Coturnix japonica: one gene and its partner. The protein of the gene in region 1 purifies or fractionates together with the protein of each later gene. This does not show direct contact. Links are inferred from orthologs where the notes say so. Each region holds a gene or a part of one and is shown in the gene's direction. Other genes may lie near its edges.

Region 1 (7,043 bases):
ATTTTGAATTCCAAATTGCAAACTGCAGCTCAGTTTGGGCAGATATTACTTATTTTCTAACATGCTCGCTTCTATTTAGCAATAAGCAAAATACCTGAGGCAATTACTTGAGCATCTTCCCCTTTCATTCCCTCACACCTTGGTCTCCTCCTCAGTTGCAATGACAGAACTGTGAGAGGAGACAAAATGAACTGGGCTGGAGAGATAACTGAAGCTAAAAATAAGTTGTTGACCAATTCTTTTTGGATTTGCTGGGCTGTCTTCATCCCAGGCTGGCTCCGCAGCCTCTCTGGATGCACAGCAAACAGTTGAGCTGACTTGTGGGTGAGGATAAACCCTGGGGATAGAGAGTCTGGTGCCAAAGTTCTGTTTGTCAGGCAGTGCCCTGAGGCTCCGTTAGTTTAGCTGAGCCACTTCAATGGCTCACTGCTGTGGTTGTGGTCTGTTTTACTCCTCCCTACAATGAAAAGGTAAAAAGCTAATTGGTTTTAGCAAGCTAAGAGTTGAAGCTACCAGTTCTGTTAAGATGTCCTGTCCCAAGCTAGCTGTTGGTGCTCAGATAACTGACTATTTAACTTGCTTTGCTGTTAAGCTGATCTTGTTCCTGCTGCGGTTATGCTGTAGTTGATACCAGAGATGGACCAAGGTATGTCAGGCTGTAGTAGCTTTGGGAACTATTAATGTAGGAGGAAAGAACAGCATAGAGCAAACTAGTCCCAACATCTAAGCAGGGGGTTGGGGAGAAAAGCTGCTTTCATATGTCTTTTCTTATGCATGTGAAAAAGAATGTATTTTCTAATATGTTGACTATTTCTGCAATTAACATACGTAAAAATCTTTTCAGGCAGGCCAGAAAGTAAAAAGTAACTAGATTAAGCCAGCAGAAGGGCAGATGCAAGACCCTGAGTTCCTACAAAAAGCATACAAACAAAGCAAATATAAAATGGTACATTAAAAAGGTAATATGGTATCTTAGGAACAATATAAACAGATTAAAAGAGTGAATTTTGGAGCAAAGATGCCAGAGGTTGTGACTGAAATCACAGCATAGTTTTGTGGACTGGTTTGAGCTGCGGGCCCAGGTCTCCCATTTCCCTGTTAGATATTGATCTACCAAATAGAAAAGGAGGTTCCTATCTCTACTATCATTTTAAAATATCCCAAAGGAATAACTCGGATCCCAAGTGTTAGCAAGAACTTTGACTGTGAAGCATGGCCTTCCTCTTGCCAGAACTTGGTGTTCTGGTTTGGCATAAGTTTAGGAAATTAAAATGAAATTCAAACTGCTGGGATAGTCACTCACAGTATAATCTACTGGCTACTTTTATTTCTTCCTCTCACCATGGCTGATAAGCATTCAGAAGACTCAGCTCATCATATTCAGGTCCAAAAAAACAAACAAAAAACCCTCACCTTTCTAAGTCAAGACTGATTGCTTGATTGTCTGAATCAAGCATGGCTATATTGGAGCAGAGAAAGAGGATTAGGAATCTGACGTATTTTCTTTATAACCCCTTTCTTTTCCAATCAGTGGATTTCAAGTGTTTCTATGGTGAATAATTTTAGTTCTCTTTCTGGTGCAGTTCTTGGAGAAGATTCGAGAAGCACAGTTCTATGGATATATGTGTGGCTCTATTCCTGTGTTTGTGACCATACAGAAGCAGGCTGCTCAGTTGACATCTGTGTTGGCAATAAGATTAACTGCTGCATGGAACTGCCTACTGATCAAACCCCAGAGGTCAGCTTTGGAATTAACAGCTTGAGAAGCTGGCAGCTTGATTCTCTTGTAAGTATTACACTGAGTTTGTTTCTGGAATTACTCTTTCTGCAGGAAAACTGTTTTACCTATATACTGTATAAAATGAACCCGATGGGCTAATTCTGATTTGGCTGATTGCCTTTATGCTGTTTCTTCTTGGGGGAAGTTCTTCACTAGGAGAGTGGTGAGGCCCTGGAACAGGCTGCCCAGGGAGGTTGTGGATGCCCCGTCCTTGGAGGTGTTCAAGGCCAGGTTGGACGGGGCCCTGGCCAACCTGATCTAGTAAAGGTGTATGTTTGGTGGCCCAGGCAGGGGGGTTGGAACTACATGATCCTTGAGGTCCCTTCCAACCCGAGTCATTCTGTGATTCTGTGATTCTCTCCAGTGTTTTTTCAGGGTTCCTCAAAGGATGGTGAAGACAACACTCCAGATTTGATTACAGTGATTCAGGCACATGGGAGTGGATAGTTTTATACACAAAACAGGTTAGTTTGTAGTGTTTCCAGGACAGGATCAGAGTACTACTCCAAAGGGTCCCTTTCCGCCTCAGCCCCGGCGGCCTTCACCGCGCGGCCTCCCACCGCCAGGGGGGACTCGCGGCCTCCCCGCCGCCTCTCCGCTCTTCTGTATGCACCGAGGAGCGGCCGAAGCTGGGCAGGTAACGCGGCGCTTTCGGGTCGGAGATCGCGTCCGTCGGGCTGGGGAAGGAGCAGCGGGTGTCGGTGTGTCCGTGTGCGGGCAGAGGGAGCGGTAGGGCTCGCCAGAACCAGGCGGGGCGGGCGGGCGGCCTGCAGGCCGCAGGGCAGCGCTGTGGTTGTGGCACCGCGAGCGCTGAGGTGGGCACTGCCGGGCGGGTGAGGATGCGGAGGCAGAGAGAGGGATCTCAAGAAGTGCCTGAAGTTGTACGTATTCATGATCCGTCTGACCCAGTTTCTGTTCTTGTGCAGTTTATTTCTGAATGCATGCGGCCTTGAAGTCCTCATCTGCAGCCTGGGGACGTGTGACACCCAGTCGACCACAGAGTGAACTGCTAGTGGCTCTGCTGAGGATTCAGGTATGGTGGGATTCTGAGGGTTCTTTCCTCTTCCACTGAGTCTGTTGGTTGCCTCATTCATGATCTCGCTTGTGCTCTGCTTCCAGATACTCCACTTAATGTGGGCATAGTGTATTTTGGAGGGCATCTGTTTATATGCATGTTGTGAAATACAAGAGCCCTGGTGTGTTCAGCTTTCTCTGAAGACCACCCATAGTCACGCTGTCAGTGTAGATGCCAGGCTGACAGGTCGGCTTGAGTGCATGCATCTGTGGCACCAAACTTCAGTTATTGGTTATTATTTTACATTGAGATGCTGCTTTGGCATAAGTCAAAAGGACAGATACTGAAACACTCAGGTTTGTTGTGGTTTGCTTTAGTATTTAGTGATGATGCTAAGAATGTGTAGTACTGAAGAGTTCAAGTTTGTTTGGGTTTGCTTCAGCATTTAAAGGAGATGTCCACTAAGTACGTGGGACCAAAGTTTGGCTCTGATCCCCTGCAGTACCTCACAGAAACCTGTGCTGTAGGACTTGGTCAATTGGAATTTTATCAGTAGAGTACAGGAAGGAAGGGCTGCTTGGAAGAGTACTATAGAGATACAAACTGAAACCTGAAGCTAAGGGAACAGAGCTGTAGTTACAGCAGCCTTACCAGCAGGCAAATCTTTCACATCCAGGTAGCCCAGCTACATCAGCAGAATTTCACATTATAAAATCTGTTAGCGTGTGTAGATAACACATTGTTCAGCATGCTCATGACCTCTTACTGCATCAGATCAGCATAATGGGTTGGGGATAGAGAAATGGCAGCATGTTTTGGGAGAGGCTCCCGATTTATTGTTTTCCCATGGGTGGTCCTGGACACTTGGCCTTTCATCTTTGCCAGACGAGTGCAGAGAGAGCTGTACACCTACGCTTTCTCTGCCTGCATTTGTTTGGGACTGGTTCTACCTGAAGCTGGGTACCTTTTTAGAGGTATACAATCTTTTAAGTCTCATCAGCTTCCACTAAGGATTAAAGACTATTGTTGTAGATTTAGGTGATGTGATTTATAAGGGCTTTCTTGGATTTTTGGGAAGCATTTAATTCCCTGGTAGAGGCTTTTAAGGATCTCAGTCACGGTACAAAGAAGGTTTCTCACATGCAGATAAAATTGAGGTGAAAAATTAGAAAGAGAAATTCATTAGAAAATGAATTGCCAAACTGAGGAAGGGACCTGGATAGTAAAATATAATACAGTGACACAGGGAGTTCAGTGTAGCTGAATACTGTGGTATGATTTAGTTAGGGTAAAAAGAATCCTGAGCCTCTATGAAATTGTGGGCTAAGTTATCTTGAGGCAGAAGTTTTACCAGTATCAGTGGTCTTTTGTTTCTAGGTTCAGCAGAATATAACTGCTGTTGATTAACAGCAATTGAGCTGTCTCTCTCCCAGATGTCGTAGTTATAGTTTCAAAGCCATTTCACTCCCTTCCAACCATTGTCTATTACATTCTTGGTTGGTTCCAGCCTCTGTGCAGACCAGGAGCCAAAGGGTGGCCTTCCTGTCATTCCCCAGGATTGCCAGTTATCCTTGAGCTTGGAGCCTGTTGTTCTGCCCACCTCCAGGCCCTTCAGACACAAACTTATGCAGATGCTGGCACTGCAGGTTTGTTTGTATGGATGAAATTTTGTACTCCGAGCATTCTGAAGTAGCTATTTCTGAAAAACAACGTCAGCAGATATTCATTAGGAATGCAGCCTGAGTAGTGTGACCGTTCCATCTCACCATAACGTATAACATGGTCCAGCATGGCTCAGTTAATTCTTTAAAATCACAGTGTGTTGATAGAGATTTCAACTCCTTGGAAGCTGTGAGTGTATCATTTATCAGTGCTGCTTTGATAAACTGATTTCCCGATTTTCATGACACCAAGCTGGGACGTGGTGTTGATGTGCCCAAGGGCAGGGAGGCCCTCTAAAGGGATATGGATAGGCTGGATCTCTGGGATGAGGTTAATGGGATGAGGTTCAACAAGGCCAAGTGCCGGGTCCTGTACTTTGGCCACATTAACCCCATGCAGCGCTATAGGCCTGGGGATGAGTGGCTGGATGAATGTGAAGAGGAAAGGGACCTGGGGGTGTTGGTCGATGCTCAGCTGAACGTGAGCCGACAGTGTGCCCAGGTGGCCAAGAAGGCCAACAGCATCCTGGCCTGTATAAGAAATAGTGTGTGGCCAGCAGGAGCAGAGAGGTGATCATCCCCCTGTACTCAGCTCTGGTGAGGCCGCATCTTGAATACTGTGTTCAGTTTTGGGCTCCTCACTACAAGATGTCATTGCTTGGCTTACCAGCCTGTGATTTCTGTGATTTTTCTTCTGAGGAAATAAGGAAACACCATAAAATCTAGAAAAGCCAGACTGCGTGGATCCAGGGTTATCCATCACGATGCATAACTTCACTCAGTACACTTGGTGGCAGCATTCTTCTAGATACAAATAGTGCTCGTGCTGTGGATGGTGAGTTGCTCAGTTGGGGTTGGCTTCTTTCCCAACAGACTGCTGCAAGATCTGCAGCAAATTGAAACACGGACCCAAGACATGATGTGTTTGCTGAGGCCGCATGAGGAAGATGTTATTTGTCCTTGATGTTACATTTCCATTTACTGTTAGTGGCAGTTTCTCTGCTGATCACTCCGCTGACACGTGAATTCTAGGTGTGTTTGTCTTAATACTGAGCACCATCAACTGTTGTGCCAGTTGACATCGTGCCATTATTCTGAAGTGACAATTACTTCAGATTTTCTGGATGTTCTTGGGCACAGTGTTGTTTTGCAGAACTGGTAAGTCGTGTAGCAGTGGCTGGGTGATTAATTACAGCTCATCAAGTCCATTCATATTGTGGTGGTGGAGAGCTGGCTCAAACAATGTAGCTCCTTCTTCTGGAGCAGTTTGGTAACTGTTGAACCTAATGAGGCAAAACCATGCAGTTTCTGTGAAATAAAACCATCCACAGTTGGTGCAAATTGAGAAGTTTCAGCAGTAAGAAGACTTGCATTTGGCTCTGCCTTTTGAATTGAGCTGTGACATGAGTGTGGAAGTGTGCCAGCTTCCACGTAGGCTCAGCCTTGTTTTCTGATTCACCTTCAGAAGCAATTTAAAGAGAATCACGCTTCAGATGTTTTTCGAAGTCTACTTAATTAGATCTTCACAGCAGGGTTATTTTCTTTTGTTACTGTTTTTTCTGACTGTGAAATCCTGAGATTTCACTTCAGTCATCCGCTCTTCAGTGCTGAGTTCTCAAATATCGTAGTAACAATAAAATCTGAATGGAAATATTTGCAGTTGCACTTCCTGGTCCCTGTGAATCCTTGTGCTTCCTTTCCTGAGAAGCGGTGAGGGGATTTCTGGTGTTATTATTAGCTTATGTTTAATCACCGTTGTGTGTGTGAAGTGACAGGAAATTCTGGAGGGCTTTACCAGACCTACACATCTGGTATGAAAATATAAACACGAGCTGAATTTAGCAGAGCGTACCACACCGTTTCTCAAATAGCCTATTTTTCTTCCAGTATAATATTCTGTTGTTGATATATGTTAGGCCTTTTTTTATTGAAGAGGTTTAGTCACTCAAACACTACGTTGTAAGCAAGCCACGATCATTTTATCAAGTACAAGTAGAGTTTTGTGCTGTTGAGATGCTGTTAACATGCTGATAATTGGAGGTTTCTGTGTTATTTATGGTCTTACATTAGGGAAGATTTAGTGCAGAAAGTGAAGGTGACAGCCACACCATGCAGAAATTGGGCCTGGTGTTTTTCTGAGCAGGGATTGCACTCCCAGAGTTGAAACGTTCTGATCTCATTTATTATTTGGGTGCAAAGTGGGCAAGAAAATTGAAATCGCTGTCAGCTGGCAGTTCTGGCTTTGCACCCCCAAGGTTTTGTAGCAGACTCACTGAAAATGTAAGCATTTCCTTGCTTTCCATTTAATGTTTTAAGAAATATACTAGTGCCTTAAACAATGCTAACCTTACAAGAAATGTTTTATGCTGTATTTATGTTCAGTTTTGGGCACCTCAGCACAGGAAAGACATGGAGGTACTGGAGCAGGTCCAGAGAAAGGCAACGAGGCTCATGAAGAGTTTGGAGAGTCAGCCCTACAAGGAGAGGCTGAGGAAGCTGGGGCTGTTCTTTACAGAAAGGGTAGTTAGGTACTGGAATAGGCTCCCCAGGGAGGTGGTTGAATCGCCATCCCTGGATGTGTTTAAGA
Region 2 (7,096 bases), on another chromosome or scaffold:
GCAAAACTGGTGACGCTGGGCTGGCAGCTAATTGGAAACAGCTGGTGTCAGGCCCTTGGGAAGGGAGTTATTCTGGAGTTCAGTCCTTCAGCAGGGCTCATCTGAACAGAAGGAAAAAAATGTATTTATAAGGTGGTGCTGGGGCTGTGGCTTCATGTGGTTTTTGACCCCAGGTATTGCTGTGACTCGACCCAATGGAGCTGCAGAGATAAAGAGGCCGAGGGACCGGCCTCGCAGGGCAGCTCCGTTGTTTACACTCCCAAGACACCCAGCCCAACCCTGACTCAGCCCTCAGCAATGATGGTCTGATCCTATTAATATCAATGGAAGTCTTCTTAACGAGGACATAATTTCACCCCAGAGGCCAGTTTGTTAACGAGTGTCTCTGGCTATCCTGTCATTGGGCATGTGAAGAGGGTAGCAACTCGACTTAGACACTGTGCAAATATGTGCAGAGTAAATATGTATTTAATTTAAGTATAGTGACAACATACAGGGTCATAAAAGTTTGGCAGCAAGAGTGAAAAAGGGGCGAGTGCAGCTCCTCGCAACTATAACTCAGTGCTAGTGCTACTTGCCCATTGCAGCCTTGCTTACAATCAGCGTCCAAATAAACCCTTGCTTACCAATTAGCTTTTGTTTTCAAGTTGTGTGACAGTCACCCAAGTGTTATTCTGATGACTTGTGTTTTTTTTTGTTGCTGTGATAAGGAGACTCCTCTGTCTCTCAATTCACTCCTCTTGCTACGCATGGTTTGCAAAAACACCATTGTCTTGCAGCTCCTGCTGCCAGGAAAGGGCGTTTTAATCATTCTAGTACATCTATTACAAAGTATTTCTGCTTTCCAAAACAAAAATAGCTTTGCTTGCCTTCTGAGATAACCAAACCCCTCCCCTTCCAACCTATATTTGTGTGTTGGAAAGTTGCTCGACACACACACACATACAAAAAGACCTTGGGAACGTTATTCACATGTTAAAACTGGACAGATTAAAGTTAATTTAACAATAATGATCTCCCACAGTTAATGTTTTATTCCGGATAGCAACAGGGCACAGTGTGATCCCTAACAAGGTCAGGAAAGGATTTCTCCTGTTGTGCAACGCTGACGGATGTTAGTCTTCTCTGAAGCATTTGAGAATGGCCACCGGCAGCTGATGAATGCTGCAGGAGCTGAATGATCAGCGTGCATTGATGTGATAACACTTTCACCCTATTCTCATGCTCCGGATGATCCCGTACAGCTGAGCTGATCCTTCTTAACCCTTCATTTAAGAGCTGAAGTTGGCTTGATAACACCAACCAACCGACTCACTCCTGCACACATCTGATTCCTTCAGTTGTTTAGTAGATTTATTCTTCTCTTGATTTATCAATTTTAAGGAACAAGCTGCTATAGGAAAAGGGTAGGGAGAGATACAAGGAGAGATGGCATCTTGTGTTGTCATAACAAGCTTAGGTTGAAAAAAATCCCCATGTAGCACAATGTAAACCGTGTAGCTACAAACCACGTAGCACAAAAGCTCTCCTCTAAGTCTGACGCAGTGAAATTCGACTTGAGGATGTGAACAGACTGTTTATTCTCATTGCGTCAATCAGTGTTTTTATTTTCATCCCGTCAATCAGTGTTTTTACTTTCATCCCTTGTGTTTGGCAAGAGAGGGGCAAGCAGGCGTTGTGAAAGTAAAAGTAATTGTTCCCTCTGATAAATACAGGTGGGCAGATCTGGGCAGAGGATGGAGGCTCTAAGGTTGGGCTTAAGATTGTTTTCTTTCCTATCTGCTCAATACCTGTGTTTTCAGTATCCCTGGTGACTTACTTGGAAGACACTGAAGCTCCCACTGAAGAGCCTCTCTCAGCACAGGTAGCTGGTAGCTTGATTTGTATATACAAATGAACCACTTAAAGGCAGTGAGTTGGCAATTTGTGTCTGGTTTGTTGTGACTCTGTACTGCTGGACCTAAACCCTGCTGGCCCTTTTTATAGGGGAAAATATGAGCAAAATTTCATTCCATTAAAACAAAACAACACAAAACACTTCTCAGATGCTGTTAATTTTCTATAGTTGAAACGAGGTGTTAATTACCCAAATTATGAGACTTGGATATAAAGGAAAAAGTATTTTTACCCCTTAAGGCGACCAGGGTCAGTGTGGATGGGGCTGTGAGCAGCTGATGGAGCTGTGAGCATCCCAATTCACTGCAGGGGAGTGGGACCAGACAGGCCTTTAAGGGTCTTTTCCAACCCAAACCATCTTGTGATGGCAGCAGTGACTGGGATACCGATGTCTCGGTATCTTATCGTATTGATATGTTGATTCCCTTCAAAGCTTCTTCCATTCTGGGGTGTGTGTGTGTGATTCCAGTCCTTAGGTATGTCACGACTTGTATTTTTGTACAACAAAACATTAATACATACATTGTTGCTAGTTTATACAGGCATATTGTTAATTATTTTAACTTCTCCTCTTTGGATCCTTTATTACTCAGGTCTTATTTATCCAGCACCAAAAACCAGTAGTTCTATTTCAGACAGCTGGACAGACAGGACCTGCAGTCTTCATACCTGCGACTTCTACCTAATAACAACAAATTGCTTCACTTATATAACGAGACCTTGAAATAAAATACTCTTATCTTATCCTAAATGCAGAAACAACACTTGATTCCCACAGTTTTCCTTCCTTTCTACACCTATTTCACATCAACCCCAACGAACGGACGACCCCACAACGGCCTCACTGAGGTAAAGGGCGGGACGAGCCGCCCGCCCCGCCGTGACGCCATCGCCCGCAGCCCGGCGGCGCCTCCCGGTTCCCCTCCCTCCTTCCCATCCCCGTCGCCTCCTCTTCGGCCACCGTAACAGAGGAACATCCCCCACCCCTCGTCGGCCACCGTCCCGGGGAGGAGGAGGTTCCCCGGCGGCGGATGGTCCTCGTCGTCCCGCCGCCCCCCGGCCGCCCCTCCTCCCGCAGTCGGAGTCGGCGGCAGATGGCGCGGCGGGGCCCGGCTTGGAGGGTTGGGAGGCCTCAGAGGTTGCTGTTAGCGCTGTTGTTGTTGCTATTACCGGCCGTGCCGGGATTAGGGCCAGCCGCCACCGCTGCCGCCGATGAGAAGGAAGAGGATGGAGGAACGGCGAAAGAATGCGACAAACCGTGTGCCAATGGCGGGCGGTGCCAACCGGGCACCGGGCAGTGCGAGTGTCAGCCCGGCTGGGTGGGAGATCAGTGCCAGCACTGCGGGGGACGATTCAGGTGAGGATTAAGGGGGGTCTATAGGATCCCAAGGGGCTCCCAAGGGGGTGCTGGGGAGTGAGGAGGTCGTTTGTGGGCTCTCAGATGAGTGATGGTGTGAGGGGGGGGATTAGGGGGCTCGGAAGGCACAAAGAGCCAATGTGGGGACTCACGAGGAGGTGTTGTGTGGGGGCAGGGGAGCCTCAAGTTGAGGTCTGGGTGTGGGTCTTGCAAGGCATAAGTAGATTAAGTGTGTTTTAAAGGGGTTTGCAAGGGACCAGGAGTCCATTTGGGGGCTCCGAAGTGGGTTCGGAGGCTTCCACTGTGTAAGGAACAAGCGATAGGTGCTCACGAGTTGTAGGGAGCAGAATTAGTGGCTTGCAAATGGGTTGATAGGGTGTGAGGGCTGGGTTTCAGTGTTTCCAAGTTGCAGGAAGCCCATCTACGGGTTCACAGTGGGGTTGAAGGGTGTGAAGAGCCTGTCTGGGGGTTCACGGAGGTGGTGAAGCTCTGAGGGTGGTTGTGCAATGCATTATGAGGGCAGTGGGGTGTAGGTGTAGGGTTGGTAGTGGAGTTAGAAGGGGATATTGGAGGTTTGGGTGTTCCTACCAAGGTCTGGGAGCAGTGGGAGGTGGGTGCAGGGCTGTGGGGAGAAGTGGGAGATGGTAGCAGTGGATCAGGAGTGGTTGTGTTTGCTTTATGTGAGGGCTGGAGAGGGAGTGAGATGGGGATGATTGATGGGGGAATGCAGTGGGGTAGGGGCAGGATCCAGCCAGCAGCAGGTTGCAATGGGGCAGGAAGGCTTAAGGCTGAGAGAGAGGATTGCACGGGGGGGGAGATGCAGCTTTTAGGGTGGGTAAGAGCAGTGCTGGCTCTTGGGGAGGGACAGGGGAGCGATGGATGGGTTTGTGTGGGGTTGAAGACAGAACTGAACCAGCAGCATTGGGGCTGGTGTGCAGGGATTGTTTCCAGGCTGGGACATTTTTTGGGTGGGAGAAATGGCTAAAAAGTGGTTCTTGGCAAAGCAGCCCTGTGTGTTTTCAGACAGCATGTATATATGGTGCTGAGGAGTGATCTCTGGGTTGGACTGTGCTGGTCCAGCACTGTTGGGACCATTTCTAGTGGCAATGGGATGCTGAATTGGGCTGTGTCTGTCCTACAGCTTGCTAGATTGGAAATCCACATGGAAATAGGTTGGGAATTCACCCTGGCTTCACTTAGGTTTGCAGCAGAAGGGTCTGTAAGATGGTGACCTGTTATCAGTGTGTGTCTGCATGTGTTTGGTGAAGTCTCAGCAGGGTTGATTCTTGGGGGAAGAAGGAAATGAAAACGTTCTCCTGGGCAGTGCTGCCTTCTGGGGGAGCTCCTATGGAAAGCACTTAATGTAAATGTGGGGGAAGAAGGAGCTGCGTGCACGAGGAAAAACACTTTGTATGCTTGCGAAGTGGAGCTTCGTACAGATATCTATAATTATCTTCATTCTCATTTGTATTTACATGGGATGGATGCGCGATGCAGCTGATCATAAAGGGATTTTCCAAGGAAACTCTGGAAGCTGAAAGCTTCCTTTTGAGTGTTTATAGCCGGCGTGGTGATAAGTATTTCCCTCTCATCTAGAGAGCTTTTGGAGATAGCTACTTATGTCTTAGCTTCCTCGAGCACTTGAGGATATTTGTAAGTTGAAGGGGACCAAATCTGAATAGAGGCAGAGCGATGTAAAGTGCTGCTGGGTAACAAAAGAGCTGGTCGACGTGTGCTGCAGGCTGCTTTTGTCTGTTTTGATGAAGCTCCTTGTTCGTTCTTTACGCAGATTCCAGTGTAAAAATTACCACTGAAAATTATCAGCCCGTGTTCTTCACTCCATCTCCTTCATTTACCTGTTGGTGAATCGAGGTTTCCTTGTCGTGTTATTTAGACTTTGAGCCCTGAGAAAAGTGCCAGCGAGGGTTTCTCAGCGGTGCTCAGAGCTTTGCAGTGTGCACTGAGCTCACCCTTTCCTCTGTCACAAATGGCATTGCAGCTTTTCTTTGGTTTCTAATTATTTTTGAGGCTGCCGAGAGCTTGGCTTTAAAAGCTTTGCTTATTAAATGCTGCAGGTAGGAATAGGAAGTACGAGGGCAGGTGAAAATTACTTTGTAAGCGTGGTGTATTCCACGTGCTTATCTACACGACCGTGAATTGTAATTAAATACGGCATGTTAATCACTCTGTTCTTTATCTGGGTGTTTGTGATGACTGTATCTGGGGTCTTGGCTGGTTTAGGTTGCTTGCCAGGGCTGTCGTGTCACGTAGCTTGTGCTTCACCCTCACTTCTTCCTATGTGAGCAGCTGGCTTCATGCTGCAGCCCGTGAACACTCTACACACTGAGCAAGTCTTTGTAGTTACAGTGTGGTTAGAAATAAGGCCAGCAATCCAGGGGTGGACTGTTCCCTTTCTTAAACCCTACAAAGGGGAGATTGCTTGCAGTCCAGTGCTGGGGATGTACTTCTTTCTGAGGATATGCAGTGTGCTGTGACTTCTGGAAAGGAAAGTGATGTGGGAGAAGCTCCCATATGGTTGTGTTGGGGGGTGGCTTGTAGCTGGAGGAGGCTCAGGGGGAGACCTCATTGTTCTCTGTTGAATTTAAATGAGGTTGGAGGGAGGTGGGGGTTGGCCTCTTCTCTCTGATAACTGTGATAGAATGAGAGGTGATGGCCTGTGTGTGGGGGTCAGGTTGGATATTAGGAAACATTTCTTCTCTAAAAGAATGGTCAGGCACTGACACAGCTGCCCAGGGAGTGGAGGAGTCCCTGGATGTGTTGAGGAACCATGGAGATGTGGCACTGGGCAGTGTGGTCTGTGGGCATGGAGGGGTGGGTTGGGATTGGGCTTGGCGAGCTTAGAGGTCGTTTCCAACCTTAATGATTCTGTGATTCACGGTGCACTTGGGTGTGTGTAAGATTGAGGTTTGAATGACTTTAGATGTCCCTCTTCAGGATGAGGAAGCAGTCGCCTGAGTTTGTCAAAGGCAGAGCCCAGAAAGTGAAGCTTTGTGAAGTCCTCTGTTGAAGAAGTAAAACCCAGGCTCTGTGACGCTGTTGTACATGGCTTTATTGGCTAGAGGTTGTATTCAGGGTGCTTGCCTTTGGGAAAGGTAACTGTGTGCCTGTTGTGTCTGTGAAATCAGAGTCATTAATGTTGGAGAAGACCTCTAAAATCCCCAACCCATCCCCACCTTGGCCATAACCACATCAGTGCTACATCTCCATGGTTCCTGTACAACTCCAGCACCAGTGACTCTACTGCTGGGTAATCTGATGTATGGTTGTACATGTGAACAGGTTATATTTGGAGTTTAGAATCAGATAGCAAATGTTTCCACAATACTGAGTTTTGTGTCCAAAGGTTCTGCTTCTTTCCTGGTAAAACTCGTTTGATTTTTAGGGTGGGAGATGGAAAACGCAAAGCAGCACTTAACAGCGGAACAGAACAAGGGGAGGAAAACACCAGAGATGAGCGTATCTTTTAAATGGCCTTTTTATTAATTTAATGGAGGCAGTTACGGGCTGCTGATTGAACGTTATGAAGGAGTCTGCGGTAAGGCAGTTCCTTTGGCCAAAGAATATTACAGCAAAGAGGAATTTTATCTGCAGGAGATTTGGGGTAAATCATCACCTGAGAGTGAGCTGCGAGCTGGCAGAGAACTGTCACAGTTCCCCTTGTTAAATATATGGCAACTTGAGTCAAAAGCTGATACACAGAACTGCTTTCTTTACAGAGCTACCTGATGCAGTTCGGAGCCGTAGGAAAGTCAGAAAGCCGCTTAATAAATTAGAGGATGTTGGCAATTTGAATCGAATCACTTTAAGTGCTGAAATTAGATT

What was found. The genes of interacting proteins can lie anywhere in the genome.
Region 2: the proteins of ANKRD46 (region 1) and ATRN purify together in Homo sapiens (co-immunoprecipitation; 3 studies listed by BioGRID and IntAct, with this or other methods). This does not show direct contact. The link is inferred for Coturnix japonica from reciprocal best matches to the Homo sapiens genes ANKRD46 and ATRN.

The regions. Positions count from the first base shown.
Region 1 is NC_029517.1:116,428,445-116,435,487, reverse strand, and holds the start of ANKRD46 (ankyrin repeat domain-containing protein 46), read left to right. Parts: upstream 1-2,318; 5' UTR 2,319-2,417; exon of another isoform or gene 2,418-2,481; intron 2,482-2,486; exon of another isoform or gene 2,487-2,509; intron 2,510-2,706; 5' UTR 2,707-2,813; intron 2,814-7,043.
Region 2 is NC_029519.1:80,787,101-80,794,196, forward strand, and holds the start of ATRN (attractin), read left to right. Parts: upstream 1-2,824; 5' UTR 2,825-2,927; coding exon 2,928-3,253; intron 3,254-7,096. UniProt on the Homo sapiens protein: Involved in the initial immune cell clustering during inflammatory response and may regulate chemotactic activity of chemokines. May play a role in melanocortin signaling pathways that regulate energy homeostasis and hair color.